4 linked regions of the Tamandua tetradactyla genome follow. The protein of the gene in region 1 purifies or fractionates together with the protein of each later gene. This does not show direct contact. Links are inferred from orthologs where the notes say so. Each region holds a gene or a part of one and is shown on either strand. Other genes may lie near its edges.

Region 1 (7,016 bases):
AGATTTCCCAGCCAGAAGTGAACAATATACAAGGAATCTTGGGAATTGGTTGACCTTATTGATTCAGAAAATTGAGAGTCAGTGTGACAATGGCAAACATACTGTGTAGGAAGACTTGAGGCAGAGTTTAGACTTCTTATTTACTTGCTTGCATGACCCTGGCTGAATTACTTAAGTTCTCTGGCCTCCTGTTTTAAATATCACTGATTCTAAAAAGGAACTGACAGATAAGAAAACAATCAAATGTAATGTCAGGCACTGACATGGATAGTATTTGAAATGAAATTTTTAAAACTCCCATATATTTCAGTAGGAACTTTAGGAGCAAACTAAAAAATCCACCATAAATTGTAAAATCAATGAATCTGGGAAATGAAAAAATTTGTGCTGGGGTATCAATTTATTACATAGCAGTCTGTATGAGAAATACAAAGCAACAAAGACAACCGAGTTTAATTACATGGACTCAAGAGAAGATTTATCTTTATATACTTGAGGGAAAATAAAGCACAGCTAAAACAAAAATAAGCATGAAGGATTCCAGTTTGTAGTGGCAACAATACTTGACAGTTGAAAGTGTGGCATTATTTTGGAAGGTAAAGAATAAGAAAAGAAAATAGTACTATAGTTATGTCCTTAATCAGTCTGTGATCAAATTAATAAAATACAATTAGTTGAACTATACTTACTGAGTGGGCCATAAACACAACTAATTATTTGGTGGTATTACCTTACCTAAGTAGCTTGTTCAAATTGTGGACCATTGTTCAAATGGGAAAATCAGGCATCTCAGTAGATGAGACATTAAAAAGACAACATACCTCACAAAAGCGGAAATAAGAAGGGCTAATAAATACATGAAAAGACCTCAATAGCATCAGTAATTAGGGAAATGCAAGTTAACATCACGATGGGATTCTACTACACACAGCTCAGACTGACAGAACTGAAAAGGGACAGTAATGAGTGCTGTTGTTGTTGGTGTGGAGCAATGGGACTCATGTGGCTTGTGGGAGTGTAAAACTTTCGAAAAGAGATTGGCGTTATCTATTCAAATTAATGAGACTCATAACAACCGCCAGGTATATACCAGAGAGAAACTGATGTCAACGTGATGTAATATCTATATGAAGAATGTTCACAGCAGCATTGTTTATTGCAGCCCAAACTGGAAACAACCCAGATGTCTATCAACAATAGAATAGCTACTATAAATTACGGTGCATTGTTACAATGGAACACTGTAATATGAAGCAATTAAAATGAACACATTATAGCTAGATGCAGCAACATGGATTAGAAACCATGTTGAGAAACAGCAGCAAGCACAATGGATTACGCATTATGTTGTTTCATCTACATAACATTCAAAAGAAAGGGCAAAACTAAACAATATATTGTTTAGGGATGCATGCTTGTGATAAAACATGCTTGAAGAAAGGCAAGGAAATGATTATCACAGAAGTTAGAATAATAGTTACCTCCAGTGCAAAGGGAAAGAGTCCTTCCTGTTCAGGAAAGATCACAAGGGGGTTTTTGGGGTACTGCAATATTCCATTTCTTGACCTAGTTGATTTGATACGTGGAGATTTCCTTTATAATTACTCATTATAATTGCTTTGCATTTTTATGTACATTTCACAATAAAAATGCCAACAGTACTCCATGTACTGGGACATACTGTAGATGGAATTTCTAGAAATAAAAATAAAATTTGCAGATAATTTAGCTAATGAAATCTTTGATAGTAAAAATCATTAATGTGAGATATTAAAACATTGATTCAATAAGGGCTCACTTTCAACTGGAGGAGAACCCTATAGAAATGTCCCTTTGTTATGTTTTAATGTAAAATGATATCTATATGATAAACAGATTGAAAAACCAAGGAAAGAACTCTGTTACCTAAAACTTCAGGTATTTGCAATTTTGAATCAACTGTATCCTCTCTCCTCTGGATTAATAAGCAATACAAGGAACTAAAGTAGATATGGAAATGAATGGACTTCCTCTCTCTTCTCACCAGTTCCAGCTGTTTCCTTCTCTTCTCATGCTGGGTCCTGAGGTGGGTAGACCTTGCCCAGTAACCTTAGTGCAGTTATTTCCTAAGTAGATGGCTCAAGGCTTTCCCGAGTGTCAGTCTCTCAGTAATAAGGTTTTAAGGTGGAGCATTTGACAATGGAAACAGATCAGGCTGCTGAAAAACCCTGGGTGCTACTGGAGGCATCCTCTGAGGGTTGCAGAGCTCTGATAATTGTACTCTTTATGTTTCAAGCCCACTGAACTTAAAACCTGAGGTTCTCAGCATCACAAAACCCCTTAAACCTGGGTGTTTTACTCCAATTTCTATCATCCATCCACAGAATGATGAGAATGGCAAAAACAAAAAAGATTTATTTTGTAGCCATTTGGGGCCATTACTTGGTGGTTTGATTCCCAGTCTCATTTGGAATCAAATGCAGGGTAACTTAAGTAGGCTCTTATTTAACTTGGCTCTTGGGATTTGGGTTCAAGGGCAGGAGTGTCAGGTGTTATTTCTGCAGAATGTCTCCACTTCTCCCTCTTTTCTGCAGCTTTTAAAACAAAAGCAAAAACCAGGCCCTTGGTTTTACCAAGTTAGAAGTTTCCTTGGTCAACAGTTTGCATATGGTGCTGGTAGCACTGGCAGAAACCCCAAGTTTCCAAATCTGCTTGCAATACTCCTGCTTCTATTCCTCCATAGAGGAATAGTAATGGAAAAGACTTCCATTACTGCTGCTTCCAGAGGAAGTAGGGGGTGCGAGGTCCAGTGACAGAACTGTGGAATTCGCTTCCTTTCATCATTGCTGCTGCTTTTATCGCATGCTTACACTATTCACCAGGACAGATTCAGGACAGATTTCTGAAGATTTTGGTTCTTTTATATTACTTCTTTTCCTAGAGAATGACCTTTTTAACTTTATGAATTATTACTTGAATTGACCTTCCAGAATAACATCTGTAGGAAAAGCTGCATAACAGTAATAACATTTATTTCAGAGAGGAAAGAGACTTTCAGCCACATGTGAAACGCAGGCCAAAATTACTTGATGAGGGTAATGGACACTGAATGACAACCAAGACAAGGTCAAGAAGTTCTCCATAAGCAAGAATGATTTCTAACAGTGAGGCATTGCTAAATTCTCCTCTAGAAAAACAGTCAAAAATCTTTCTACGATCTCCGGAAGGATGGTTCCTTTCCAATACTCCTCCCCCTCACACCGCCCCCTCCCCGACGCAACATTCTCCTGGAGTATGGCTCTTTCCTCCTTACCTCCCCCCCCACCCCCCCAGCCATCCGTCTCCTCCTCGCCTCTCCCCAACTGCCCTCCCTGGCAATTCTGCAAAGACGCAGGGAGTAACTCTCTACTCTAGCCACACCACATTTCCTTTCATGGAGGAAAGGGGGTGCATTATAACTTTCCTCATAATGCATCGCAGTTTACAAAGCGCTTGCACTTCTATCATCTCCTCTGAGCTCTTTGGGTGCCAAGGGACGTAGGCATTCATTCATTCATTCACCAAATTTGCGGCTCTCCACCACACTTTATCTGGCTGTAAGTCTCACCCCACACCACGGGAAGGGTGGAGTGCTCGCTCCTCGAAGCAGATGCGGTGAATTAGGCGTCAACTTCTCGCTGGGTCGGGTTTGTTGAGGGCCCGTTTGGGGCCAAATGCCTCACCTTCGAGTGGTGCGCGCCGGAGCATGGCCACACGGCTGGGCCTCCTCCTTGCCCCCAAAGGAGCAGTCACGCTCTAGGGTCAGGGGTAAGATCAGGCCGTAGCTTAGGCTCAACTCGGCTCCTCCCCTTCCTCTCTTCTATTCTGACGCGATCGCAGAGGCGGCAGCGGCGGCGAGTCCCGCGGTCCCGGGCGCACCCACCCGCTCTCGGATCCTCGACTTCCTCTTCCCCTTGAGCGTCATCAAAGTGCGCCAGAGTTCCCCAGGTCGGGGTGGGTGGGAAGGGAAAAAAAAAGGCTAGCGGTGGAAGCTTCAAAGCAGAGGGGGGAGGAGAGCGGTTGCTAGGTGACTTGCGTCATCGCTGTGCGCCGGTTTCCTCCCGCCCCTCTCTGTGGAGTGAGGCGAGAGCCCCGCACAGAGCGAGCGAGATAGCGAGCAGCGCTCCGGGCGCTACAGCCACCGCCTCCGAGAGAGTGAGAGCGAGGGAGCATCCGAGAAACTCAGCTTCCGTGCACTGGCCGCCACCGAAACCTCCGCCCTAACCTGGGCCAGCGAGAGCCGCGGCCGCCCTTCCTCTCCCCCCCCCCCCCTCACCTTCCCGGCCGGCAGCAGCGGCTGCACACGCCGGAGCCGGAGCCGGAGCCCGCGGCTGGGGGGGCAGGGAGGCGGCTACCCTGGGTCGGGGCTGGGCAGCTACTCCGCGGTGAGAGGACGCTGAGGAGGGTCCGGAGCTTTCTGCCTCGTCCCGGGACGCGGGGCGAGGGACCCCCAAGGTGTAGGGAGGGGGTCCCAGTCGCAGCGACACATGCGGGAGCCGGGAGCGGGGGCGGCGCCGAGCGGAGCCGGCCAGGTCCCCCACCTCGCCGCCGCCTCGGCCGTCCACCCGGGGCCGTAGCATCTCGCCCTGGAATATATGAGCCGGGGCTCCAAGCTCAGCAGCCACCCCCCAATCGGGGGGGCGGGGGCCCCGATGTGAAGAGGCGGCCCGGGTGGCGGGGAGAGCAGGACCCGCGCAGAGGTTCCCTTCCTTACCTTCCCCCTCCCCCACCCCCTTCGGGGGTCTTCTCCTTTGGCCAGTCGCCAGCCCCCCGGCTCCTCCGTAGGGCTCCGGGAGGAGTTCTCAGTGCCCCCTCCCCCGCCCCAGCCCGAGGGCGGCGGGGCTGGGGGGGATCCGGGGGGCCGGCCGCAGCCTCCGCCCAGAGAAAACTTTTTATAAAAATAAAATCCCAAGTCCCCCCAACGTGACTGTCCCGGGTGAAGTGGCCCTGGAAGGGCTGGAGCCACAGCCTGAAGAGACCCAGGAAGAGGAAAAAGGAGGCAAGAGGGGCCGCCACCCCTTTTCCACCGGCGGCACGGAAGAGACCCGGGTGGCCACCTGGCTTAGCGACACTAGCACCGCTTCTTCCTCGGTAACGCACCGGAGCTTTTCGCGGCCGCCGCCTCAGTCGGAAGGAGGAAGGGACCCAACCCACCTTCTCAGCTCCACCGTCATTACTCTTCGCTCCTAAAGTGTGAGTGGCCCCGGGAAAGAAAGTTGGGATTAGAAAGTGGGAGGATGCCGGTGCTTCTTCTTGGAGTTTTGCTCATGTTTCCCAGGAGTATTGGGAGTGTATAGGTGAGACAGTACCTTTATTCTTCACCGAGGGGGGAAGGTATTAGGTAGTCCAGTATTTTGTTTTAGTGCTTTGTGTGTATTATGCAAGCGTACAAGTTTCTCTTAGAGGAATTTTGCCTTACTCCAGAGTGGGTACTTAACGCCTTTTGGGCCTGCAATTGGCAAAAGAAAAGGTAGCCAGAGCATATGTGCACATAAAGGACATCTCTAATCTTCTTTTTTCCTGGTACACCTAGTGTGAAACAGCGCTGTAGTTGTTTCTGGGGAACTCTCATATATAGATGCCCAAGTAACCACCTACTTACTTACTTTTTGAATTGAAAGTAAAATTCCTTTCATTTTTTGCAGTCTTCCTTGAAAATTTTCTGTTTTGCTACCTATTAATACAGGATTTTTTTTTTTAAACTTTCTAAATTTCCTTGGTTCAGTTCCTGTCTGTCAGGAGGACACTAACAGATTTCAGTCAACCAGGAAATTCTGGATTTTTATGAATCACAACTTACTAGGGGTCTCCAGAGCATTTAGTGCTTTAACCAGTTTATAAAAATTGTTACATTTTTTTCCTTCACGCATTTTTTTTCCTTTCTTGAGAAGCATGTCTAAATTATTGCACTTTTTATTGGGCAGTTTAGCTTGAGGCTTTGATTATTTGAGTTATCGTCACTTCTCTGTTAATTTATGAGAAAGTTTCCATATTTAATTCTTTTCCAGAAATATTTTTCCTTTCATTTTAAAGTTGAAGTTTATAAGAACTTTCAGGGATACTTTCAGAAAGCCAAATTAGAGGTGCAGGAAAGTAATTTACATTTCGTATGTTTATGCACCCCTTAAGGGTTAAATAGACATTTTATTGAACAGAACATAGGTGGTATACCAAGAATTATGGTCCATCCAAACACCTGTGTGGGCTCTGTCTTTAAAGGCACTGCTGAGACGTGGTTTGTGGGAATGGATGTAAATCTGGGGTTATCGATCCTAAGTTCTCCATTGAGTAGATTTAATTTTGATTAAATTTACTTTATACTTAACATTGTTTTGATCCTGTACCTTTTCTTTCTTAAAGTAATGAGTTCTGCGAGTTTCTTGCTTCTGGATTGTGCCACAATTTAATTATTTATTGTGAATCTGTTGCCTTAAAGTTCCAAGACATAGGCAGAGTTTGTTTTGAGAAAAGGAAGAATAAGCCTGAGTTTATCTTTTCCTGGTTATATAGATTTTGATGTTCCTTCTTACCATCATGTCTCCTGACTATTTTTGTCTTAAAATAATTTATTTCATCCCTTTTATCACTGTGCCCTCCTCTGGAACTTCTGTTTTTTTTTTTCTTTAGCTACCTTGTTCTTGTTAATCTTTTGTAGGAAACCTGCACTTCTATCTTATTTAAATGGGTACCAACGTGAAAATATTGAGCAATAGATGTAATGTTCTATTTGGAATCAGAAAAAACATCTCTGGAGTCCTTCTTACTACGTGACCTTTAGGAAGTCATGTATTCTGTGTTTCACAGGGATATAAACATGAGAGATCTAGTCTTGCATAGGCTGTATGTTAGATACTGCTTTTTATTTGTCAGATTGGCTTGAAGCTTTGATTATTTGAGTTACTGATGTGAATGTATATGTACATTTTTCATTAGGGAAACGTTTGGTGCTGGATTATACAGAACTAATTGGTGTATCTGAGCCAGATCTGGAAATGTCC
Region 2 (7,225 bases), on another chromosome or scaffold:
TTTGAAATAATGAGACAAACTATTTAATATCAGTAATAAAGAACAACTTATTACTTTGTTAACTACACTGAGGTTTTCAAAGTTAAAATGATGTGTTTGTTTAAATTTCTCTCTTTAACAGAGCAATTTATATGACTTTCTATATCAGTTGTTACATGCATCACAACAAGATTTTTTTAAAGTGTTGTGATTTGCATACAAAGATACATTACTGAATTCACACATTCCAAAGCATACACTCTCTAATAAACATTTTAGAATAATTGTTTTCAGGGATGAAAATGTTCATATATAAATTCCTCTCCTAGAACTTAAATTTTAATTAGTAGGAAAACTTGGACATATATTTTGTATATTTTAAACTAATATAGATAAAATAGAAAAAAGCATTAACTCTCCATACCTAAATATTATAAAGTCCTAAAAATACAATTGTATAAAGCCAAAAGTCAACCTATCTAGGGTATTCAGTGTAATTTATGTACAAAAGAATTTCAAGTGCCCACTGAAATTTTGCCTTCAATCTGTTATTAAATATGATATTTCATTTTAAAAGGCAATTAAATGATATTTAATTATATTAGTTAAGAACGATGAATATTGTGGCACTTCAAAAGCATTAGTCACTGAAGAGTGAAGAACTTCCTCACTCTTCAAGCCTGAGCATGTAAATTGTTTCAAATTGCTCTCAGTTATTAAACTTGTTTCAAAATACTCTCAGCTACCATTTTGTTTTTTTAAATGATCCAATACACTATTGTACAAATCCAGGAAACAAACTCAGACTCAACTCGATGACAGCATTTTCAGCAGCTTTGATTTTCTTGATAGCATGCATGCTTCCTGTGTTTGTAACCTTGTAGCATTAGTGCAATATTAGCCTTTTAAATGTTAATTAAATTAAATTGATGTTAATTAACAACATCAATCTGTCATTTTACAGACACATCATGGGTCCTGCCATGGTACATTTTTTGTTGTTGGTTTTTTCACTGCATCAGCTCTGGTGGCTTCTTTAAAAAAATGTATATATGCATATTCTTAAATATAGAGTAGAAAAATGTAAGAGTTCAGAAAATTGTAGTCCCAGGTACGTAATGTCCAGTGGACAAGAACAACAAAATCTGTGATCATAAAGGTGAAAGAAGCAGCCATAATCTTTTTGTATGATCACAGATGAGATTCTTTTGAGAAATCAGCATGGTATCAACCACAAATCCTGAAAAATACTATATATGCGTTTCACTAGTAAAATCAGTAAAAGGCAGGATATGCCTTAGTTTAATGCTATTCTTTTAGGGCGAATGGGGCGTGCACGCATGTCTAGCCTATTCTGACACCCCACCTAGGGTTCCCCCTCCCTGCCACTCCACCCTAGCACTCCCTCCTAACTCGATGCACGAGCACGCCCAGCCAAGCCAGAAGATAAATCTAAGATGGCAGCGAGGAAAGTACAGAAGCAAGCTCAGTGGGATGGGCAAAATAAAAGCAAAGAAAAATCAGAGACTTCCCTGTTCTTTCATTACCCATAGTTGTCTGAATAACAAGAGCTCCCCCCACCCCGCTCCAAACACCTGGGCAGCGTAAGGCATTCAGTAGCGCTGCGCGCAGGAGTGGCAGGAGATGATTGCTTTGTAGAAGGCGAGAAACCCACAACTCGACGGTCCTGGTGAAGTGAACCTCCCGCGACTTGCCTTAGGGACTACCCTCCCCTTCGAACCCCTTGGCAGTGGAATTAAGTACGACTCTAAACGCCCTTTCATCCCTGGGGTGGTCTCATCGCGGGCTATCCCATAGAAGCCTCCCAAGATGTCCAGGTGCCAGCGCAGTAGCTGTAGCAGTTGTAGCGAGGGGCGTTCGCAGAGTGCGGAAGCAGGAAGAGGAGCAGGAGGAGGAGGAAAACGCTGCATTAGCTATCAATTTGAGTAGAGCGACTGCGACCTTTGCCGCTGCCGTGGAAGGAAACCGCTGGCAACCGCAAAAAAAAAACGCCACCCTCTGATACCAAAGTGAGCATGTGTGCGACTCTGCGCACGCCTAGTGGTACCGCTCAATGATATCGGGTTTCTTAGGAAATTATCCAGTACCGGGTTTTGAGTGTGTCCAGAAGTCTCAAGGTGGGGCCTCTCTGGAATCGAGGGGTACTTTAAAGACTGAGGTGAAATTAAGGAAGGGGTGAAAGGAACCCCGATACAGTGCAGCAGCAGTTAGCCCTCTAGAAACTCTAAACGGACTATGACTACATTTGCCACCACCTAAGCCCTAGATGGAATTGTTTCTCTGTGTAAGCAGCATTCGTTCGTTCATTCATTCATTCCACCAATATCTATCTCTCCTATTTAAGGCTACACCCCGTGCCAGGTCCTGGGAATGCAGTGGGGAACAGGCGTTGGCACCACTCCCATCTTACAGATAGATTTAGTGTGGTTTTTGTTTTGTTCTTCGTTTTACCATTTGTGGAAAGCCATGTGCCAAGTTGGAAAGTCAGAGATGCTTTAAATCTCCCACAATTTTATGCAGTAGGTATGATACAGACGAGGAAATATTCCTGAAGTCATACAAGTATTATGTGGCAGAGGCAGGATCCAAATCCATGTCTATCTGATTTCAGAGCCTTTTTTGCTACTCTGTTGATCTTGCAACAGTAATGTATCCTAGCAACAACAGTAATGTATCCTTGCAGTTCATACTTGTTAGGCCTATAACTTCACAATTAAAATTGAGCTGCCTCTACACCAGTGTTGATGTTCTCACCCCAGGGTTAGGGGCACTTCCTTTTCAACACTGACCTTTGCGCTGAAGCATCAGATTTAGCCTAACAAATATGTATTGAATACCTACTATGTGTAAGGTTCTCTACTAGAGACTGAGGAAGACATAAAGATAAACCAGAAGTTCTGAGGAAATTAGTAAAACAGTTGAGGAAACAAGACAGGTACAAAGCTTTTTAAACAGGGCTACTTACAGTACTGAAATAAAATACTGTGATTCCCCACGTTTGTGCCTGTCTCTATGCTTTCATCATATTTCTAGGTATCTTTTTGTTAAAAGTATATTCATCTATCATTCAAAGCCCAAGATAAAAATGCAGTTTCAGCCTTTCAGCACCTCATCCTCAACAAAATCTAGAATTAATTTACTTCCTCATTTCTTGTTTGCACTTCTCAAAACACTCAACTGGACATTATTACTATTTTTCATGTGTGAAAGACATTCAAAAAAGAGGCACAGAACTAGTAACTAGAAGGGTATAGTATTGGGATGAATGGACAAGGAAATATGTTAGGAGTATACATTAGGCAAACTCTTCAAATTGAGAGTCAAGGGATAGAACTATAAATCATGGGACATTTGAATATATATTTCTAGGACACTTATGAAGGGATTAGTAGAATAGCTTGAAACAGTGGACTCAGGATGTTACACTTTTTAGATGGCAATGATAAGATCTTTGGTAGATTTGACATTTTCAGGTGTTATACAGGCTTACAATTATTGGCAGCTTGGACAGAAAAAGATAAGCCGATAAGTGACAGCTGTCAAGAGATAAGGATGGATCCTTTAACGAGTGGAGAGTCAAAAGAACATTTAAGAAAATTGCTGCTGTTGTGATTTAGCTCTGATGTAAATGTTGATAACAATTTAGAAATGAATGTAGCCTTTGAATACCAGCATATGTGAATTCTACTTTCACAGAAAAAAAGTGCATTAGATTACTACCTGTCTTTGTAAGTCAAGGCAATTTGAAGCAGACTTAAATTCTAATGACAATAAATCCAAAATAAGATCGCCAAAGGGACTCCTAATTCGAGTGGCCTTCTCTACCTTGAATTCTGATTTAACTAGCACTATTCACAGTAAATCTTCATGTTGGCAGCACAGACTTTGGAGAAGAAGTAGCAGGAATGCGTAACCCTCATCTTCTGGCGACCGGCATCTTCCCTCTTTCTTTCGGGTGCTAGTTCTCCCTCCTGGAGGGAACCCCATTACCTGAAGTCGAACACCGCTAGCTAATCGTCTCTCCAGTATTTTCATTACTTTCCCTCATGCGGCAAGCAAAACCCGAAGTGGATTTTCTTCAGACTGAGCACAAACGAAGCTCCCACACCCAAACCCCGGAGGAGGAGGGAGAGGTGGCAGAGAGGGGGTGGGGAGAGAAAGGGGCTCGAGCTATTGAGCATGTGCAAGGAGTGGCGCATGCTCAGTGCAGCTAGCAGTTTCCCATTGCGGATTGCCCCGGCGGTGGTAGCGGTGGTGGTGGCGGCAGTGGCGGCACCGCCTCCTCCTTACACTCTCGGTGTGGCGGGGTTAGATGAGCGGCCCCAGTAGTGGCGAGGGCGGCGCGGGGGGGAGGAGGCGAAGAAGGAGAAGGAGGAGAAGGCTGCTGTCTTTGTAGTTTCCCTGCTGCGGGAGTGAGAGGCCGCCGCCAGAGCCGTCGTCGTTGGAAAAGGGCTGTGTGCGCGCGCGTGTCTGCCAGCCCGGCCCGCGGGGACGAGGCGGCGGCGAGGATGATGATGTGCGCAGCGACTGCCTCCCCTGCCGCCGGCTCCTCGGGGCCCGGCGGGGACGGCTTCTTCCCAGCCGCCACCATCTCTTCCTCCCCGGCGCCGGGGGCGCTGTTCATGCCGGTTCCCGAGGGTTCCGTGACTGCCGCGGGGCTGGGGCTGGGGCTGCCCACCGCGGACTCCCGGGGTCATTACCAGCTGCTGCTGTCAGGCCGGGCCCTGGCCGACCGCTACCGGAGGATATACACAGCTGCGCTCAGTGACAGAGACCAGGGGGTCAGCGGCGCTGGACACCCGGCCTCCAGGTGCGTCTCCAGAGTGCCCTTCCTTGCCTCACATGCAGCGTGTGTGCCTGTGTGTGTGTGTGTGTCTGCGTCTACTTACATATTTACTGAGCAGTCTTTCATTACGCGCATAAGCCTGGTAGAGGTACTTATTGACATTGGAGGGTGCGGTGTCTGCAGTTTTTACTGTGTGTATGTGTGTGTCTGTCTGCCTATGTGGAAGGTTAGTGAGGGTGGGAATGTAGTATGGGATGTTGGAAAAGGTGATGGTGTAGGTCGGTTATGACACGTGTGTGTGCATGTGCATATGGTAGTTGAAGAAGTGGGAGGGATGGGTATAGAGTCAAAGGGTAATACACGAAAAGAATTTGTAAGAGTAATGAGGGAAATGACATTTTCAGTGTCTGCCGGAGTGGTATTTGCATGTCTTTTTCACTGATCACCCTCCCCTGCCCCCTATTCCCACTCCATGACATTTCATTCTCCCTTCTAATTCCCTTAAAGAAAAGCTGCCTTTATCTAAGGGAGCAGTGGTATAGGTAAAGGATAGTCTCATATTTATACGATGAGTTTCAGAGAATCAAACAGTCATTTAGACATGGCGTTTCAGTTAGTCTTAGAAATAAGGCATGCAGATAGTTATGTAGAGTGAAAGGTGTCTGATAGAAAATTTTAAAGCTACATTTTGATAACTGGGTTTTTTGGTTTTCTAGCGATGTGGTTGCAGCTGCTCTTGTGTGGCCCTATCGGCCATTTCCCTTCATCTTCTATTTCCTCTGTCACTTCTAGGCTTTGGAGTAGCGGGGGTTTTGTAGAGGAAAAGGGAAAGCTGAATGGAAGAACTTCAGAATATGACAGCTAGTGTAGTGTTCACCTGCTGCCAATTAGAAAATCTGATCAGCCCCTAGATCTCTTCCAGTTAGATGCACTGCATCTTCATCTTCCTTGCTGTGGGAAATGTCACTTTCATTTTTTTTTTCTTAAAATGTGAATTCCTTTTTGCTAAGAATTCTGTTGTTTTCTTTTCCATGTACTTCTATGGCACATATCCTGAAGGCTGGTAACTGATTGTTTCACCAGCTTGGGTTTGACATTAGTAATTGGGAGTTGGTTTGTCTTTTTTTTTCTCACAACTTCTTGCAATACATAAGTAAAGAAATGTATGATTTTTCAAATCATTTAAAGAATTTAATATATTTCTCGAATGTGGGGTGATAACCAGATGAATTTTTTTCCCATTGATAAGAAGCTAGGCTGTAAGGCCAGGTATTTGTTTTTTCAGTACATATTGTGGCTTATTCATTGGAGAGAGTTGTAAAAATGGAGCTTTGTTCATACTTTTTCTAGGTATACCAGTCTTCTCATTTCTGTAATTGTTTACAAGATTGAACACATGAGTAGTTGTATCATATGGATATAAATACGTGTAACTACCTTTTGCTATCTAACCTGAAGGCCAAAATGGAACAGTCTTTTTATTGTTAATGTATTTGAAGTAACACAAAATTTCATTAGACGGTTTGCTCTGATAGTGAGGTGTAATTATTGGTAATTCTTATAATTGATCCATGAGTCTATAAATTATGGTTATGGTACATAGGTACATCTTCACAAACCCCTCTTAAAGACTTTGAAATCATTTTGTATGTTGTTCCCAGACTTATTCAATAATTTGTGAGTTATATTCTCTGTTCGGACTTTCTATTACTATACTTATGTAATAATATTTCTGTGATGTATAACTGTATTTTAGAGAGGATTAATGTAGGTTAATCATGTACATAAGATTTGTGAATGACCTTTGAGTCTTTGGTACATTTTTGTACAAGCTGAGAATTGAAAGTAATGAAGAATTAAAGTGTTTCAAGAAATTCTCATAGAACCCAGATTTAAATAGCCTATTATTGCTTTTCCTGCTGTTTTGGAACATTTTTACTTATTATAATTCATATTGTGTTTTCTAGGTCTTAGTGTGCAGCTACTCCTTATTGAGCATTTGATTAAGAATTTAATCACGTTTCTTATTAAAGATGATGGAGAAAGTGGAGGTGTGATACAGGTTCTGAAGGAATACATGTAAAATAATCATTTGTGTAGATGTACTAGTTGAAGTTATAGGAGAAGACAAGATTATTCAAAGACAGAGAATGGAGGAAGAATAGAGTATGAAGCATTAGTGAGAATTAAGTTTAAAAGTGTGAGAGAAAAGAGACAGTGAAAGAAGCCATAAAAAGATAAATAAGGAAGCAAACCAAAATTTAATTTGATTTGCTGAAGTTGCTGGAATGCAATATACCAGAAATGGAATGGCTTTTAAAAAGGGAATTTATTAAGTTACAAGTTTACTGGTCTGAGGTCATAAAAATGTCCAAAATTACCTTGACTCAAGAAAGGCCACTGTCTGTCACATGGGAAATCACGTGGCTAGTGTTTGCT
Region 3 (8,021 bases), on another chromosome or scaffold:
CTATTTGAATTTGTAGATTTTTTCCTTGTTGCCTTAATTTTAAGTTGCTTTATGAAACTTACTGCTCAAATACAGGCTTTACAATGATTATATAGATACACTTTATTTAAATATGTCTATGGTTAAACTAAGATATCCATTTTTGGTGGTTCTAAGTGTATTGTTTGTTTCCTTAAAAAAAAAAAGAAAAAAAGAGGGAATGCAAATGGTCAAGACACCTAAAAGAAGATCAACCTAACTAGAGTTCAGGGAAAGCAAATGTAAACAACAATTATACCACTTTTCATCCGTCATGTGGGCAAAAAGTAAAAGATTGGCAACATCCAAACACTGGCAAGGTTGTGAGGGAGTGGATACTCTTTCCATATTATTTGAGGGAGTGAATTGCCACAGCCTTTGGAGAAAGTCTTCTGGCTGTATTTATTAATAATAAAATATACCTTTATTAACAATAAAAAAGCAATCCGATTTTGGGGACTTTACTCGACAGAAATAAAAGTGTCAGTACATAAGGATATATGGATAAGGATATTTACTGCACCCTTGTTTAAATGGAAGCCACCTGAATGCTTAGGAATAGGGAAATAATTGGATAAATTATGGCACAGGTGTTTTATGAAACATTACACAACTAATAAAAGAATGAGTTAGAGCGAGCTATATAGGCCTAGAGGTGTATTTGTGATAGAATGTTAAGTGAAAAAAAAGCAGATTGCAGAGAAATGTATGTGGCATGATCCCGTTTTCATGAAATGTAATAAAAATTCCCTTAGAAATGTATTCATCGGTAGGAGCAAGGAGGAAGGAGAGTAAGGATTTGCAACTTTCTCTCTACCTCAAGTAGGGCAGAGAGAAAAGGATTTCCTTTTGGAAATGTGTTTTGTTTGACTTGCTAAAGCTAGCATTTTGTACTTTTGTAATATGAAAGGTCACAAATCCAGTAAAGTTTAGGTTAGAAGGGAAAATCCCTCAGGAATGGGATTGGGTGATGATTTCTCTTGTATAAAGATGGAAAGTGAGCATGATTGTTATAATTTATTGACTACTGCCCCTGGGGCCAGGCATTGCCCTAAGAACTTTCCCTGCGGTTTCACCCTGGGAGGCCAATGCATGGGAAGAAATAGGGTCGCAGTGGTTAAATGACCTGTTCAAGGCTGCACAGCTAGCTCGGGGCAGAGCAGAGAGTGGAACCCAGGTGCGTCTTTAGCATTTACAAAATGCTCTCTCTGCAGCTGCTGAGGCCTCCGGTTAGTCTTCCTAATAGATGGTTCCTCCTTTGGTCATATTTTTGCTTCCATTTTCACTCTGCCATTACATTTGGTAACCATGAAAAGGAACTAACCTGTCATTCTCAGAAGGCGGCCTGAGACCTGTGCTGAGTAGAATTTCTGTTTCCTGCCTAGGAAAGGCACTCTCACAAATGGAGAAACTAAGTCCCGAGGATGCTTAAGAGGTGTCTCTGACATAGGGAACTGCACTTAGAAGCCCTGGTGCTTAGTTCCTTTCTTTAATACTTCCTATTAGATAATTGAGGATTTTGTTTTTGTTTTAATTTTATCTCCTGAGGCCTTCCGTCAACTCCCATTGCTTTCTCTATTGAGAAAGAACTCTGCAGATCTTAATCAGTGATCTCAACTGTGCAGAGAATCAAAAAAATTCATTGTTAGAAATGACCTTAAGGCTCACCCAGGCCACCCTTTTTCACCCAGAAGGAAACTGAGGCCCAGAGAGATTAAGTAGCTTGTCCAAGGTCACCAGGCTGCTCAGGGGTGCACCTGGGACTAGAATCGGATTCCCCTGGGTTCTCTTTCTGTACTCATGTTGCCAGGGCAACCACACTCCACACTTCTGGCCTTTTTTCTCCCATTTTGGTGCCTTGGCTTCGACAGCCAAAGAAATCTCCTTGGATGAGGTTTTTATTTGTTGTTGTTTATAACATACTGCCTTGAATAGGTAATATATGCATTTGGTTTAAAAAAAGAAAAAGAAAAGGAAATGCAAAAAGCATAGTAATTCTTCCCACCGACTTCCAGGTCCCCAGTCCCCCCTCCATAGAGGCAACCGATAATAGTGTCTTGTGTAACCTGCCAGAGTTACCGCTATTAAGAATATATTCTGAAATTATTTTATATTAGTACACATAGTGCTAACTGGGTATTTTTAGTGGTTGCTTGAGATTATATTATTAACCACTTCCCAAGTGATGAACACATACATTGTTTCTAGATTTCACCATACAAACAATGCCATGCCCTTGCACTGCAGGTCTTTGTGCTTCTGTACAAGTCTATCTGTTGGATAAACTCCTAGAAGTAGAATTGCTGGGTCAAAGGGATGTACATTTTAAAATCTGATATTCATCAAATCAACATCCAAAGCTGTGGTGCCAATTTATATTTCCAGTAAAATGTAGGAGAGCCTTGCTTCCCTCAACATGTATCTAAATTTTAAAAATATGGCCAATACTTATTCTGGTTTTAATTTGTTTTTCTTATGATGAATGAGGTCGAGCATCTTTTTATACATTTAAAAGTCGTATGTATTTCCTATTCTGCAATACTGGATTTTGCTCTGTGAGATTTTTTTTTTTAAATTGCTGAAGAATGAGCGCTTGGTAACCAGGTAGGTGTGTAGGATGAAGCCCATCTGGGGTGTAAGTACATGGAATGTGAATAAGGGTAGACTGTCGTACCATCTTATTGTTTAGGCCTAAGTAACACCAAGCATGTTGACAAACTGCTTTGGCATTTTTTCTAAACTTTCAAAACCAGTAATCTTAATATACATTCACGACATTGCCCTGAGGTTGGTGGATCAGTAATTAGGATCCATCTCTGACAGATTAGAAATGAGAGTTAAATTCTTTTGGTTAAAGCAACATCATCAGGGAGGCAAAGCCAGCTCCAGGCCAGCAGTCACCTGGCTTCTGGTCTAGCATCTGCCCACAGAGCCTCCTGGATTCATGCCCTAGCTCTGGAGCCTAACAGATTTGGGTTTGAAACCAGCTCTGCCATTCACTAACTGAGATACCTTGGAGATGTCACTGCATACCTCTGATCCTCACTTTATTACAGTCCAAGGATAATAACAAGTGTCTGCTCTATGTGGTTGTTATGAGGATCATGTGAAATAATGTACGCACATCCTTCATAACACAGTGTCCGCGGAATTGTAACATAGTGTCAGTTGTGATAATAACAGGTAGTATAACATGCTGCTCATGGGTTTTACTTTAGCAGTGTTTGGGAGAGTTCCAAGTCTCAGTTCACCTCTTAACTAATCCCCTTTCCAACTCTCTCCTCTCTTTTAGTCTAGTCTCCTTGAAAGAGCTAGCTCTTCCACGTTTGAGGACATATTAGTGAAGTTTTTTCCTCCCCACCTTTGCAGGGAGTGCACACTTTGAAGACTGGGACAGAGACTATTCATACTGGCGCCAACCGAATTCCAAAGCTATACAGTCTCAGGAAACGTTTATTGAATGGAGTCAGGAGGGTAGGTCTGCTCCCAACATAGCCTGAGCACAGTGCCTGGCACATAAGTGGGGAAATCAGTTATAACATATTGTGGCAGATGGCAAGCGCTCAGGAAACTTTTGTGCAATGAATAAGAATGAATGGATGCACACAGTGCCTAGCAGTGAGGTCTCAAGAAGCATTTATGTATTAAACGCCTAGTACCTGGTATACAGTAAGCGCTCAGTAAACGGCAGCTGTGAATATCCCGGGCGAGGTGCCTGGATTCCGATGTCGGCTCTTCCTTTTCCCTGTAGTGCGACCTCGGGCAAGTGACTTAATTTCTTTGTGCTTCAATTTTCTCATCTATAAAATGCAGACCCACCTTCCGGAGTCAGGTTTTTCCCTGAGACGCTCGCCAGAACACTCGGACTCGCGGCGTGGCTCACAGCTAGCTTCCGCCACGCCAGCCGGTTTGGGAGGCCGGGTCACAAGGGAGGGGACCCCGTGCTCTCCACTGCGGCCGCAGCGGGCGTTCCGGGGTCCGTGGTCGCGCCCCGCAGCACCCCGGGGCACTCCGCAAAGATCTCAGCACCCCGAAGGGGCGGGGCCCGGCGCCTACGCGGGGCAGCCCACGGCAACCTCAAGTCGGCAGGGTGCACCTCGCTGGGGAGCTGGGGAGCTGGGGAGCTGGGAAGCCGGGCCGCCAGCACTTCTTTTCTGTCCCTCTCTGGCTCTCCGTCTCCCTCCCTCTTCCCGGCCTGAGAATCCGCCGCACTCGGCTCAGCAGCGCCTCCCGCGAGCTGCCGCCGCCGCCGCTCTGGGCCCCGCCCCCGCACGCCCCCCCGCGCGGCCGGCGCCCGTCACGTGCCGCAGCGCTAGCCAATGGCGGGCCGAGCCGCGGTCGGCGGCCGCCATTGCTGTCAGAGCTAGCGAGCCGGGGGAGGGAGGAGAAGCGAGGCTGACTGGGGAGGAGGGGGGGGTGGGGGAGGAAGAGGAAGGAGGGGACGTCGCTCGGCTGCCGGGGTCGCCCGCTGGCTTCGTCCGCACCCCCCCCTTCGCGAGTTCGCGCTCCGCGGCGGCGGCTCCGAGGCGGCGGCGGCGGCTCCGGGGCCCGCCACCCCTCACGCGCCGGCGGGGGCCGAGGAGGAGTCGGTGGCTGGAGATAAACAAGGCGGCGGCGGCGGCTGAGGAGCAGGGAAGGCGGAGGCGGCGACCGGCCCGCATCTCCGGTCCGGGAGGCAGCGGCGGCCCTGAGAGGCGGGGAGGGCGCCGGGCAGCGCGGACAGCGCCCCCCGCCGCCGCCGCCGAAGCCGCCGCCGCCGCGGAGCAGGAAGGAGCCGCGCGGCCGCCGCGGACCTCCCCCCCACCCCACGCCAGCCCGGGCCCGCCGCCCCCGGCGCGGCGTCGCTGCGGCGCCTCCCTCCCGCCCGCCAGCCGGCCCTCCCGCCCTCCCTCAGCGCGGCGGCGGCGGCGGCGGCGGCGGCGGCGGCGGCGGCTGCGGCTGCGGCTGCTGCTGCTGCCGGGCCGCCCCGCGCTCCGCGGCGAGGCGCCGCCGCCCGGCCCGGCCTCGCCTCGGACGCCTCGCTCCGACATGCCCCGCTCTGGCGGCCGGGCTCGCGGAGGATCATGACTGCGGCAGCGAACTGGGTGGCGAACGGGGCGAGCCTGGAGGATTGTCACTCCAACCTCTTCTCGCTGGTGAGTAGCCTAGCTGCGAGGAGGGGGTCGTGCCGGGGTGGGGGTGGGGGTCCCCCGACCTCAGTCGCCGACCTCCGCCACCGACCAACTTTCTCCTCCCGCCGCCGCGACTTCGCCCCTCCCGCATTTCTCCCCGCCGTTCGCCTCTCGTCGATTCTCCCCCTTTTGGATCGTCTCTCCTCGCCTTGGATCCCATCCAGTGTTTATTTGGCTCTTTAAAAATCATTTGTGAGCACGGCGCTCGGCGTGGAATTTGCATGTGGAAGTCTCAGAGCTGCGGATTCTGGGTCGCACTTCGAACGCCCACCCTCTGTTGCAGTCACACCCCCCCTTCCCCTCCCCTTTCCCCCCTTTTCCCTAAGTGTGGAAGGCTTTGCCTTGTTGCTGCCCGCGCCGAAGATAAGCAGCCTTTTCGCCCCAGTCGGATCGGCTGCCCGCTCGCCTGCCTTTTGAATTTTTTTTTTTTTAATTCCGTAATGACACCTGCAATTTCGCCCGAAAGCAGTTGATTGAATGCGATTGTGTCAGTAAAGGACTCTTGCCACCGAAGCTCCTGAGATTGTAAACATCGACAGCCGCCTGCCTCTCGGGGCTTACTACACTGGAGCCAAGGCACCGAGCCGGTAGAAGGTGGAGAAGGCTTTTTCTTTTTTTTCTTCCCGTGTCTTTTAAAAACTGTTTTCTCTGTCCTAACAACGAATCCACACACATACACAAAAGCAACAAGCTGAGCGGTGTGATAACATCGCTTTTATCTGCCTTGGCCTCTCTCGCTCGCTCTCTCTCTGATAATTGACAACTTTTCCTTCGGATTTGAATCGCCTTAATCTTGAAGCAGTTGGGGTGTCAATTGTTCTCGTAGAAACCTGGCACCCGATGACAGCGTCTAGATTCGTCGAAATTAAAAACGTGTAGGACTCCCCCAACTCTTTCCTGGTGTTGGCAGTGACAGTTGGTGGTAAATGCCATCTTTGCTTTTTATTGGGTCGTATTACCTACCTCTGGAAACATTCACATTGTTAAACCTGGCGTTTAAGCTAATAATTTGCAGTGCGTGGTCTTTAAATATGTGCTTTGTGCATGAGTTACTGTATGTATAGCTATGTGCCCGTGAGAATACGAATTTGTTTAAATATTGAGCAAAGATTTGTAAACAGATGTAAGGTAATTATGTTTCAGGGGTAGAATATAATTAGAAAATTGGCTAAAGGATTTATTTAATTTAGCCTTAACAAAAACCAACTTATATTAAGTTGTGTACCCTGTTTTGAGGTGACTGCTTTTTGGAGAGCATTCATTTTGGAAATTATTTTTTTGTAACCTCTGTGGTAAATAGAAGCATCATTTCCTCTTAATCCTTGTTAATACTGGATAAATAATTTAGTGTTCAAAGTGTAATTAGTTATATTTAATTATGGGTGGCATAGATTTTTTTTTCTTTGAGACCAGTGAAGAAATGCAAATTCATGCCAACTTTTCAAATGGAAGTGCTATTTTATTAAATATGTTACAGTATTTATGCAGCTCAAAGAAAACAACACATGCGATTTTTTTAACCTACAAAGACTGAGTGACATAGTGTCTGTGCTTCCATTATAGTAGGATCAGGTTTCTTTCTTTTTCTTCAAGCATTTTTATTCAGATATTTAATCGTAAAATTCAGTTATATGCAGGGATTCTTACTCTCAGTAGATTTTTTTACTCAGAAGATTTTTTTACCATATGGGAATAAAACTCTATATTCCTCCTCTTTTTTTTCCCCCCTCTGTCTACCATTTACCATCAGCCAGGTCCAGGGAGTTTCATAGATTAGCAGATATTGATTAAGGGATATTTAAAGTGTTGTTTGGCAGCGGATGACCACACTGACACTTTCACAGGTAATTAAAATAACCAAATAGGCCAATATTAGTGAAGAAAGATCCCCCAAATTACCATAGATCATGCTGAGGACTAATGGCTTGTGTATATGTAGCTAATTTTTATATGGTAGATTCCTTAGACAACTGACAATATATGATATGTATAGGCAGTCTCTAGGATGTGTCATTTCTTTTATCTTCTTTTATCTTTTAAATGAGAGTCATGTAGAGAAAAGATTGAGATTCTTTTGGAGAAACAAATAGTTTTATAGGAGAGGATTCTGTACTTTGTAATGTCTAACCAAAGGTTGTGCTTTGGGTATTTCTACCCTAAATCTTTTTAAACAAGGAACTGATTTTTTAATATATATGTATATTTTTAAAGAATGACTTTTCAGGTAGTAACTTTAAAATCGTAACCACAGAAATGGGTATGTTGATTTGTTTAAGACATTAGAGAGTCTATTTGTTGCCTTCCCTGTACATAAAGGGTGCTAATTTTTAAAAATTATCAGTTAAAAAAAACTTTATTATTGTACATTTTTCTGATTCCAAATTAAGAATTTTCATTGAAAATCACATGCAGCAACAACATAAAGTATTAAAAAATAAGTTCCCTAATACATTATATATGATAGTTGATAATTCCAGAGGGGATTTCATTTCCTGTTCAAAATAAAGCATGACTTATAAGAACTCTTTATATGCTTGATACTAGCATATTTTTTCTTTTGGTCTGCTGTTTCTTTGAGCAGAGTTGTTTATAGTGAATTTACCTAGATACTCATTGGTATAGATTGAAATATAAACTAGAGATTAAAGTTCTGTATCACAGTAATGACCCACCCACTTTCAGTTACCTTGAGGGGTTCATTGTGGCTTAGCAAAAGTTGATTGCGCAATTAGGTGCCTTAAGATTTCTGCCAGTGCTTTACTGATTTTGTTTTCCGATTTTTACATTTCTACCATCTGCCATCAAATTTCCTAAATTCTCTCCCCACCTTCT
Region 4 (7,014 bases), on another chromosome or scaffold:
TCCCCTTGCTGGGGTCCTTATGAGAGGATAAAACACAGAAACATCAAGAGACAGGGGGTTAGAGAGAAAATGCCCTAGTTGAAACAAGCAAGGACCCACAGGAGCTGAGAGGGAAAGCCATTGAAACGAGAACCAGGGGAGAAGGAGCAGCAGACATCACCACGTGCCTTCCCATATGACACAGGAACGCTGGATGCCAACAGTCCACTGTGACGTGCCCCTGCCGGGCAGAGGTCTGGAGTCCAGGCCCCTCCTTAGCCACCTTTGATGTTGATCCTTGGCCCTGCCAGCTGCATTCAGAGGGCAAAAGCCCGCTTAGGCTAAGAAGTCCTTCCGAAGGGGCTCTGGGCCTGGCCAGCGCTCAGAAGGCCCTCAAAAGGGGGCAGTTGATCTGCAGGCCCCTGCCTGACCTGATTAGTCCAAATTCTGAACCAGCCATTCACTAGTGGAGCTGCCCCGCCTGCCCTTGCTGAGCTGAAACACTGGGCAGGCAGTCGCCCGGCTCCCCAGGACAAGGCAATGGCCCCTCACCGAGCCCCTTCTGACCCGCTGTGAATCTACCCAATGGCTCTTCAGGTCAGTCTGCATTTTCCTTCCAGCCACATGCTGGGCTGAAATCTATTCTCCCCTTGCATTTTCCTGACCAGATGGAGAAAACAGAAGAAGGGAAAAAAAAAGAGATTAGAGAATTCCAATGCAGGAGGTCTAAGAACCTCACATCAAGGAAACTGTCAGGGGTTGGGGAAAATTAGGGTTTCTCCCCCTTTGTTTAGGAAAGGCAGAAAATGTCATCTTGAGTGTGGGACTGGGGACATTTTGTCATAGGAACACAATACAATGTATCTAACTCTCTGATCTGTGCAAGTAGCTTTATCCTTCCAGCTACAAGTTTGTTCTTGAAAGAATACAGATATGAAGGCCATATGATGATGTTTCTCAAATCCTGAAGCTGCTGCAGATGAATTCTATTTTGGGTTGTATTCAAGGGGAAGCTGTTCAAATTAAGGGAAGGCTCCTTGGACTCCATTCAGTTTTGCAGCCTCTTACCCACATCTTTCATCTTAGAGGAACAGGAGGCTGAACGGTTGGGGCTAAGTCTGCCTCGGCTGGTCCCCCAGCACCTCCACCCTCCAACTGCAGACTTAGCAAGCCAGGCAACCTCTCTGAGCTTTGAAAAGTGGAGATGATCAGAGTGGAATCCGGTCATGAACTCGGTGAAGGGATGTAATGGCTAATGCACATATGAGCCTCTGCTCGCTGGATGCCTGCTTCTTGTGTTCCCCATCCCTCTGCACCTCTGTTGCCAGGCTTCCTTACTTTCATCTCCTCCCTGGGGCACTGTGCTCCCCATCTGTCTCCCTAAATGTACACTGGGTTTCTAGGGTAGGTTTGGCCAGTCCCTGATTCCCACAGTTGACTGGTGAAGTCAGCCTTGAAGAAGGCACGGGAGGAGGCTGAGGATGGCAGAAAGCCCTAATATGTACTTCAAAACCACCTACGGTTGAGTATTGACAGCAGTCTACAGAGAGAAAACATGGGCTTCTTTTTTAAGTGAAGGACTTGAAAGGGTGTCAGATTAAGAATGCAAGGAGATTTAATTCCTTAAAAAAAAAAAAAAAAGAAAAAGAGAAGAACCGAATTTGATTTTATTTTACCAAACTGAATCAGAACGCATACATACAGAGGTATAAACACTTTAGATAAGAAAGCTGAGATGTGTACATCCTACCACCCAGCAATTTCACATCCAGGTGTGCTTCCTAGAAACTCTTGCACATTTGCTCAGCTATAACAAAGTTCATAGCAGCATTGTTTATATTAGCAAGGATAATAACTGCAACCAACCTAAAGGTACATTGACAGGAGCATATGTGACCTTTACGCAGAGGAATGCCATATAGCACTGAAAATGAGCCGTCCACAGCTACACTGATGGATCTCACCAACATCAAGGTGAACAACAACAACAACAAAAAAAACAGTAGAAAAAGGCTTCCAACAGTAAAATTCTATCAAGTTTCTATCAAGTTCAAAAATTATTTTAAACCCTAAATAAAACTAAGGCCAAGGAGGAACAGATACCCAAGGGACTTGAATGAAATTGCAGATGTTCCATTTCTTAAACAGGTAGCGGGTACATAAATGTTCAGGTATTTTATCATATAAATCGTATACAGTCTTTGATACGTTTTTAATATTTAAGGATAAGCAAACAAACACAAAAACCCTCTATCTGTTATGAGGGTTCATCTGCCGCCATTAGCTGAGGACCTCCTGCAGGCCCCTCATCATACCGTAAAGTTTCCCATCTGCCTGGACACCCACCTTCAGAACAGCTGTATCACTTTTTCAGTAGACCAGTGTTGCACAAAACACAGATGAAATCAGTAATCCAGGTGTGTTGTCAATTGCTGGAGATTCACTTTCCCTTAAACCTCGTGTCCTTTAGATGGCCTTCAAGCACCACCTGCAAGGCTTCGCCAGGTGGTCTGCTCATAATACCTTGGACACTTCCTCCCCATCAGGTCCATGCCCCTGTGCTGCCCTGCAGGCAAAGATTAGCCCCATGGCCTATTAACAGAGCATCAGGAACCATGAAGATGGACAGGACATTTTGGCAGCCTGTGGATTTTTAGAGATTTGAGGGCATCTCCACTAATCATTAATGTTTCAGCTACAATTTGAGGTCGAAGTGCTAGCTCAGAGCACGGGGGTGGCTTCCAAGAATCTTGCAACAGCAGCTGTCTCATGTCATGATGCACTACATTTGATTTCCTGCTAGATGCACTGGTTCTGGCCAGAGAACTATTTTAAGAGCCATGTCTATCGTTATCTCTTTAACAATTCTAATGTAAAATTAAAGGGATTGTTTGGCATCCTTTCAGGACCACACCTTAAAATTGCTCTGAAAATAAAAGCTTTAAGGGTCTGATTTCCTTGGCGTTCTTACAAGGCTTGAGAGACGTTCGCTGTTGATTTAGCTGCTGAGTCATGGGGCTGGGATATTGGTTTTAAGCAGCCAGAAATGGCAGTGTACAGTTGGTGAAATCATAACCTCTGCTTGCAAAATCCATATCAATCTTTACTGAAATAGTTTACGATTTCCCTGTTTCTTTTCTTTTTTTTTCCTGAATTCAATCATAAAGTTCTTGCTTAGTTGTTGGAAAACAAATACGTGGACTCAGGAGGCCTTCTTAACCCTGTGCTTTGGAAACCTAAGCCAGCAGCTTGGGGGCAAAAAAAAGCTAATCATAAGAAATAAAGTAAATTATTTATTTAATATCTTTATGCACGGCAGTGTGTTAAATATAAAGACCATGCTGTTTTAGATCTCAGACTTAGAAATCAGGAGGGAGGGCCGTTAAGTAAATACAAAAATAAATGTATCGGAAAATAAAGCGATCATCTCAGGCCTTCTTTGGGGAGGCGCGTGTGTGTCTGTGTGTGCGCGAGTTGATTTTAAATGGACTATCCGTTTTTTTCTTGATCAGAAAATCAAAACCATTCCGCCCACCTCTTCTTGGTTTTCTTTTGCTAGACCAACGGGAATTACTACCTGCTTCGAGCAGTCCCCTCAGGGGGTATGTGAAATTCCATCCCTAAAGTCAGTCTTTGCTGTAGTTCAGGAGAACCTAGGCAGATCTCATCAGGGCCTACAAAGAGTAAAGGTGTGTGTGTGAAGTCTTCTGTCCTCAATGAAACAACACGAGAGAAGAATGAAATCCGCGCGGGGTGCACGCGGGCGTGCGGCACGCCGGAAGCGTGAGCTACAATGAAAAGTGAATCTGTCCTTCGGCTCCGTGCGTGGGATCCTCCACGCCCGCCCGACGCCGCGAGGTGAAGGAAACCCAGGTCACCTTGGCGGCGGCGCGCGCGTGGGGCCCGGCCGGAGCGCAGCGCGCAGGCGCGGACGAGCGCACGTGGACGCGGGCACGCGGCGCTGCGGCTCCCCCACCCCCTCCTCGCAGGCCCCCTCCCCACCCCAGGGTCGCGGCCGCTCAACGTCTCCACGCCGCCGGGGGCTCTCGGGCACCGCGCTCCGGGCCGGGCCGGGCAAGGGGGCGCCGCGAAGGTCATCAGCAAGGGCGTGCGGCGGCGCGGCTACGCCGAGTGCGTGCGGGACTCGGAGTACGTGCCGGAGCCCTCAGCCCTCATGCCCGCCGCCCCGCCCCGCCCCGCCCCGGCGCCACAGACCCCCGCCCCCCTTAGGGGCCCCGGCGGGAGGCGGAAAGGGAGGGCCGCGGAGGTCGGGGGCCCTTCTTGGGGTTTGAGTCTCCCGAGTCCCCAGCCTAGGCCCAAGTCCCCAGGCCTCCCGACCCCCTTCCCCCCTTTCTCAGCCTCAGCGCAGGCCATAGTCCCGCCCCTCTCCCCGAGGAGGGGGCAGAGGGCACGATTGACGGAGCACTTGGCCAATGGCGAGGCGGCGCGTAGGGGGCAGGCCCGGGAAGGCGGGAAGTGGGCGGAGCTCCGGGCTGGCAGGAAGTCGGGGCGGCGGCGGGGAGAGGACCCCGGGCAGTCGGCGCGTGCAGATCTCGCCTGCTGACCCTGCTGCGGTGTTTGCAGCCCTCTCGGCTTCTCCCTCGGCATCGTCCCTCGTTCACGAGACCCGGCGGCCAGGTAAGGACCCCGGGGAAGGCCGCGGGCGAGCGCTCGGCAGGTGGAGCGTGGGTTTCTTCGCCAGGTCCCCTCCGCGGCGTGCCCGTGGGCGCGGGCGTGGACCGGAGGGCTGGACGGTTCCCGGGCAGGCGAGAGGTGCGGGCCGACGCGTGAAGATGAGTTGCTTGGAGGGTCGGGGGAGAACAGGCGACCGTCTAGTCCAGCGGGCTGGGGAGGAAAGGGAGCCTCTCTGTCAGGAGCCAAGTAAAGGGGTTAGTTAGAGGGGAGAAATGCAGGCTTCGCCAGGATTTTTAATTAAATAATTAAAGCCAGGCCCTGCCTAAAACGGGGGAGGGGTCTGGGAAACAGATGACCCGCTAGCTGCGGCCCCCTCCCCCACCAGCAGCCTCTGTCCCCCGCTGGTGGCTCCCGGCCTGTAGGTCAGCGGCGTGCTGTCCAGCCCATCGCTGCTCCGAAATCAGACAGCTCGTGTAGCTTAAGAGGGTACTTTTTTTTTTTACAGTAATTGATTTTCTTCTGTCGAAAGAAGCCCCCATTTTTAAGAATCCCTGCCTACCTAGGATAAATCCCACTTGATCATGGTGCATAATTATTATTTTTTTTTTTTAATTTTTTAAGAAGTTATAGGTTTGCAGAAAAATCCTGCAGAGCTGCCATCTGTAGCCCCAGTCAGTAACACCAAGAAGGGGCTTCTTTATTTTTTATTTATTTATTTATTTTTAATCAAAGGGCCGAAGAGCCGTTGAGTCATTGAGGAACCGGCCAGGAGACTCTGCCTAAGTCAGGCAGGATCTGCTTCCCACCTCTCTGCCGGCCACCCCCACTCCGGTACTGGCTGACATAAAAAGGAAGTATTTTGAAAACGCTTCCTGTTGGCTTCTCCCCGGCCATGTGGTCGCCTGGTTGCCTTGCCTCAGGCCCCTCGGGACCCCTCCTCCCCGTTAAGTTCAAACCAAGCCCCGTGAAGAGCGATCCTGGGAGGCGGTGTAATCAGATCAACCCTCTCCCAGTCTGTGCTCCCTAAAGTTTCATTACTTTTAAAAAATAGCTATCTACCAATTTTTTTTGTGGGGTGCTTGGGCACAGCAGGCGAGCATTCTACAGTTAGCTATCAAATTTAAAGACACACTTGAGTTGATTATGTTTTATGTCACTAAATGAAACGAAAAATTAGACCTTAGATCTGTGTGCTGTGCCACTGTGTTAAGGATGTATTTAAAAGTATGATTAAAATCTACAGTAGCAAAGGAAATTAGTAGTTGCCTGGGAATGGACTGCAAACCATTAAAGCTGTATAGTTTGTCAAAACTCATCAAACTACACACTTGAAGTGGGTGCACTTTATGGTATGTGAATTATTTCTGAAAGTTGGTTTAAAACAATATGTTTTAACAAATGGGCCTTTTTGGAAGCCAGTGGATAAAAGCTAGATGCCTTTTAATTGACTAATGAATAAACTCCATTATTACATAGAAAGGAAAGCCACAGAAGTGAGTTCAGTGTCTAATTTTGAAACTCAAAATTAAAAAATAAAGATAGGATGCCATGTGCTGCTTCAGAACATTCCAGAGAAGATGTTGGAGGGTAGCCGAGGGAAATAATGGTTTCTGAATGCTAATTTATTTCCTCTCATTCACTTAAATGTCATAACTTGCTGAATTACTTTTTTCTTTGGAGACCCCCTGGGGAAAAAAGTGAGAAAACGGCTTTCTTTGGGCACTTGCTGCAAATCTCTGTTTTTTTTTTTCTTTTAGGTGTTATTTCTCTCAGAATGTTGTAGCAGAAGATAGAATTTTCTATTTACAAATCCCAATAGTTTATAATTAGGTTTTTTTTATTATTATTTTTTTATTAATTAAAGAAAAAAGAAATTAACACAACATTTAGAAATCATTCCATTCTACATATGCAATCAGTAATTCTTAACATCATCACATAGATGGATGATCATCATTTCTTAGTACATTTGCATCAATTTAGGAAAAGAACTAGCAAAACAACAGAAAAAGATATAGAATGTTAATATAGAGAAAAAATAATAATAATAATTTTAAAAGACACAAACATACAAACAAACAAAAAAACTATAGCTCAGATGCAGCTTCATTCAGTGTTTTAAAATAATTACATTACAATTAGGTATTATTGTGCTGTCCATTTTTGAGTTTTTGTATCTAGTCCTGTTGCACAGTAATTAGGTTTTTTAAATGGGCAAAATGGCCTTCGGAAGAAAGGGCCGTGTGTCCCACTACAGGCCGAATGCTGCGGCATTCAAGAGCCCCCAAGCCTGTCACTTCTGAGCTCCAAGCTCAGAATTTCTAACTGAATATCTAACTGCTCCCAACTGAACAGCCTGCTGCTACTTCAAACATAATGAATTAAAAAATTAAGATGAAA

What was found.
Region 2: the proteins of FBXW7 (region 1) and MYCBP2 purify together in Homo sapiens (affinity purification with mass spectrometry; 6 studies listed by BioGRID and IntAct, counting the BioPlex papers as one, with this or other methods). This does not show direct contact. The link is inferred for Tamandua tetradactyla from reciprocal best matches to the Homo sapiens genes FBXW7 and MYCBP2.
Region 3: the proteins of FBXW7 (region 1) and MED13L purify together in Homo sapiens (affinity purification with mass spectrometry; 4 studies listed by BioGRID, with this or other methods). This does not show direct contact. The link is inferred for Tamandua tetradactyla from reciprocal best matches to the Homo sapiens genes FBXW7 and MED13L.
Region 4: the proteins of FBXW7 (region 1) and ENO1 purify together in Homo sapiens (affinity purification with western blotting; 3 studies listed by BioGRID, with this or other methods). This does not show direct contact. The link is inferred for Tamandua tetradactyla from reciprocal best matches to the Homo sapiens genes FBXW7 and ENO1.

Annotation. Positions count from the first base shown.
Region 1 is NC_135348.1:14,755,606-14,762,621, forward strand, and holds the start of FBXW7 (F-box/WD repeat-containing protein 7), read left to right. Parts: upstream 1-4,008; 5' UTR 4,009-5,211; intron 5,212-7,016. UniProt on the Homo sapiens protein: Substrate recognition component of a SCF (SKP1-CUL1-F-box protein) E3 ubiquitin-protein ligase complex which mediates the ubiquitination and subsequent proteasomal degradation of target proteins.
Region 2 is NC_135330.1:145,172,274-145,179,498, reverse strand, and holds the start of MYCBP2 (E3 ubiquitin-protein ligase MYCBP2), read left to right. Parts: upstream 1-4,211; 5' UTR 4,212-4,508; coding exon 4,509-4,810; intron 4,811-7,225. UniProt on the Homo sapiens protein: Atypical E3 ubiquitin-protein ligase which specifically mediates ubiquitination of threonine and serine residues on target proteins, instead of ubiquitinating lysine residues.
Region 3 is NC_135331.1:16,692,197-16,700,217, reverse strand, and holds the start of MED13L (mediator of RNA polymerase II transcription subunit 13-like), read left to right. Parts: upstream 1-5,013; 5' UTR 5,014-5,081; coding exon 5,082-5,153; intron 5,154-8,021. UniProt on the Homo sapiens protein: Component of the Mediator complex, a coactivator involved in the regulated transcription of nearly all RNA polymerase II-dependent genes.
Region 4 is NC_135328.1:216,492,186-216,499,199, forward strand, and holds the start of ENO1 (alpha-enolase), read left to right. Parts: upstream 1-3,994; 5' UTR 3,995-4,128; intron 4,129-4,458; exon of another isoform or gene 4,459-4,563; 5' UTR 4,564-4,617; intron 4,618-7,014. UniProt on the Homo sapiens protein: Glycolytic enzyme the catalyzes the conversion of 2-phosphoglycerate to phosphoenolpyruvate. In addition to glycolysis, involved in various processes such as growth control, hypoxia tolerance and allergic responses.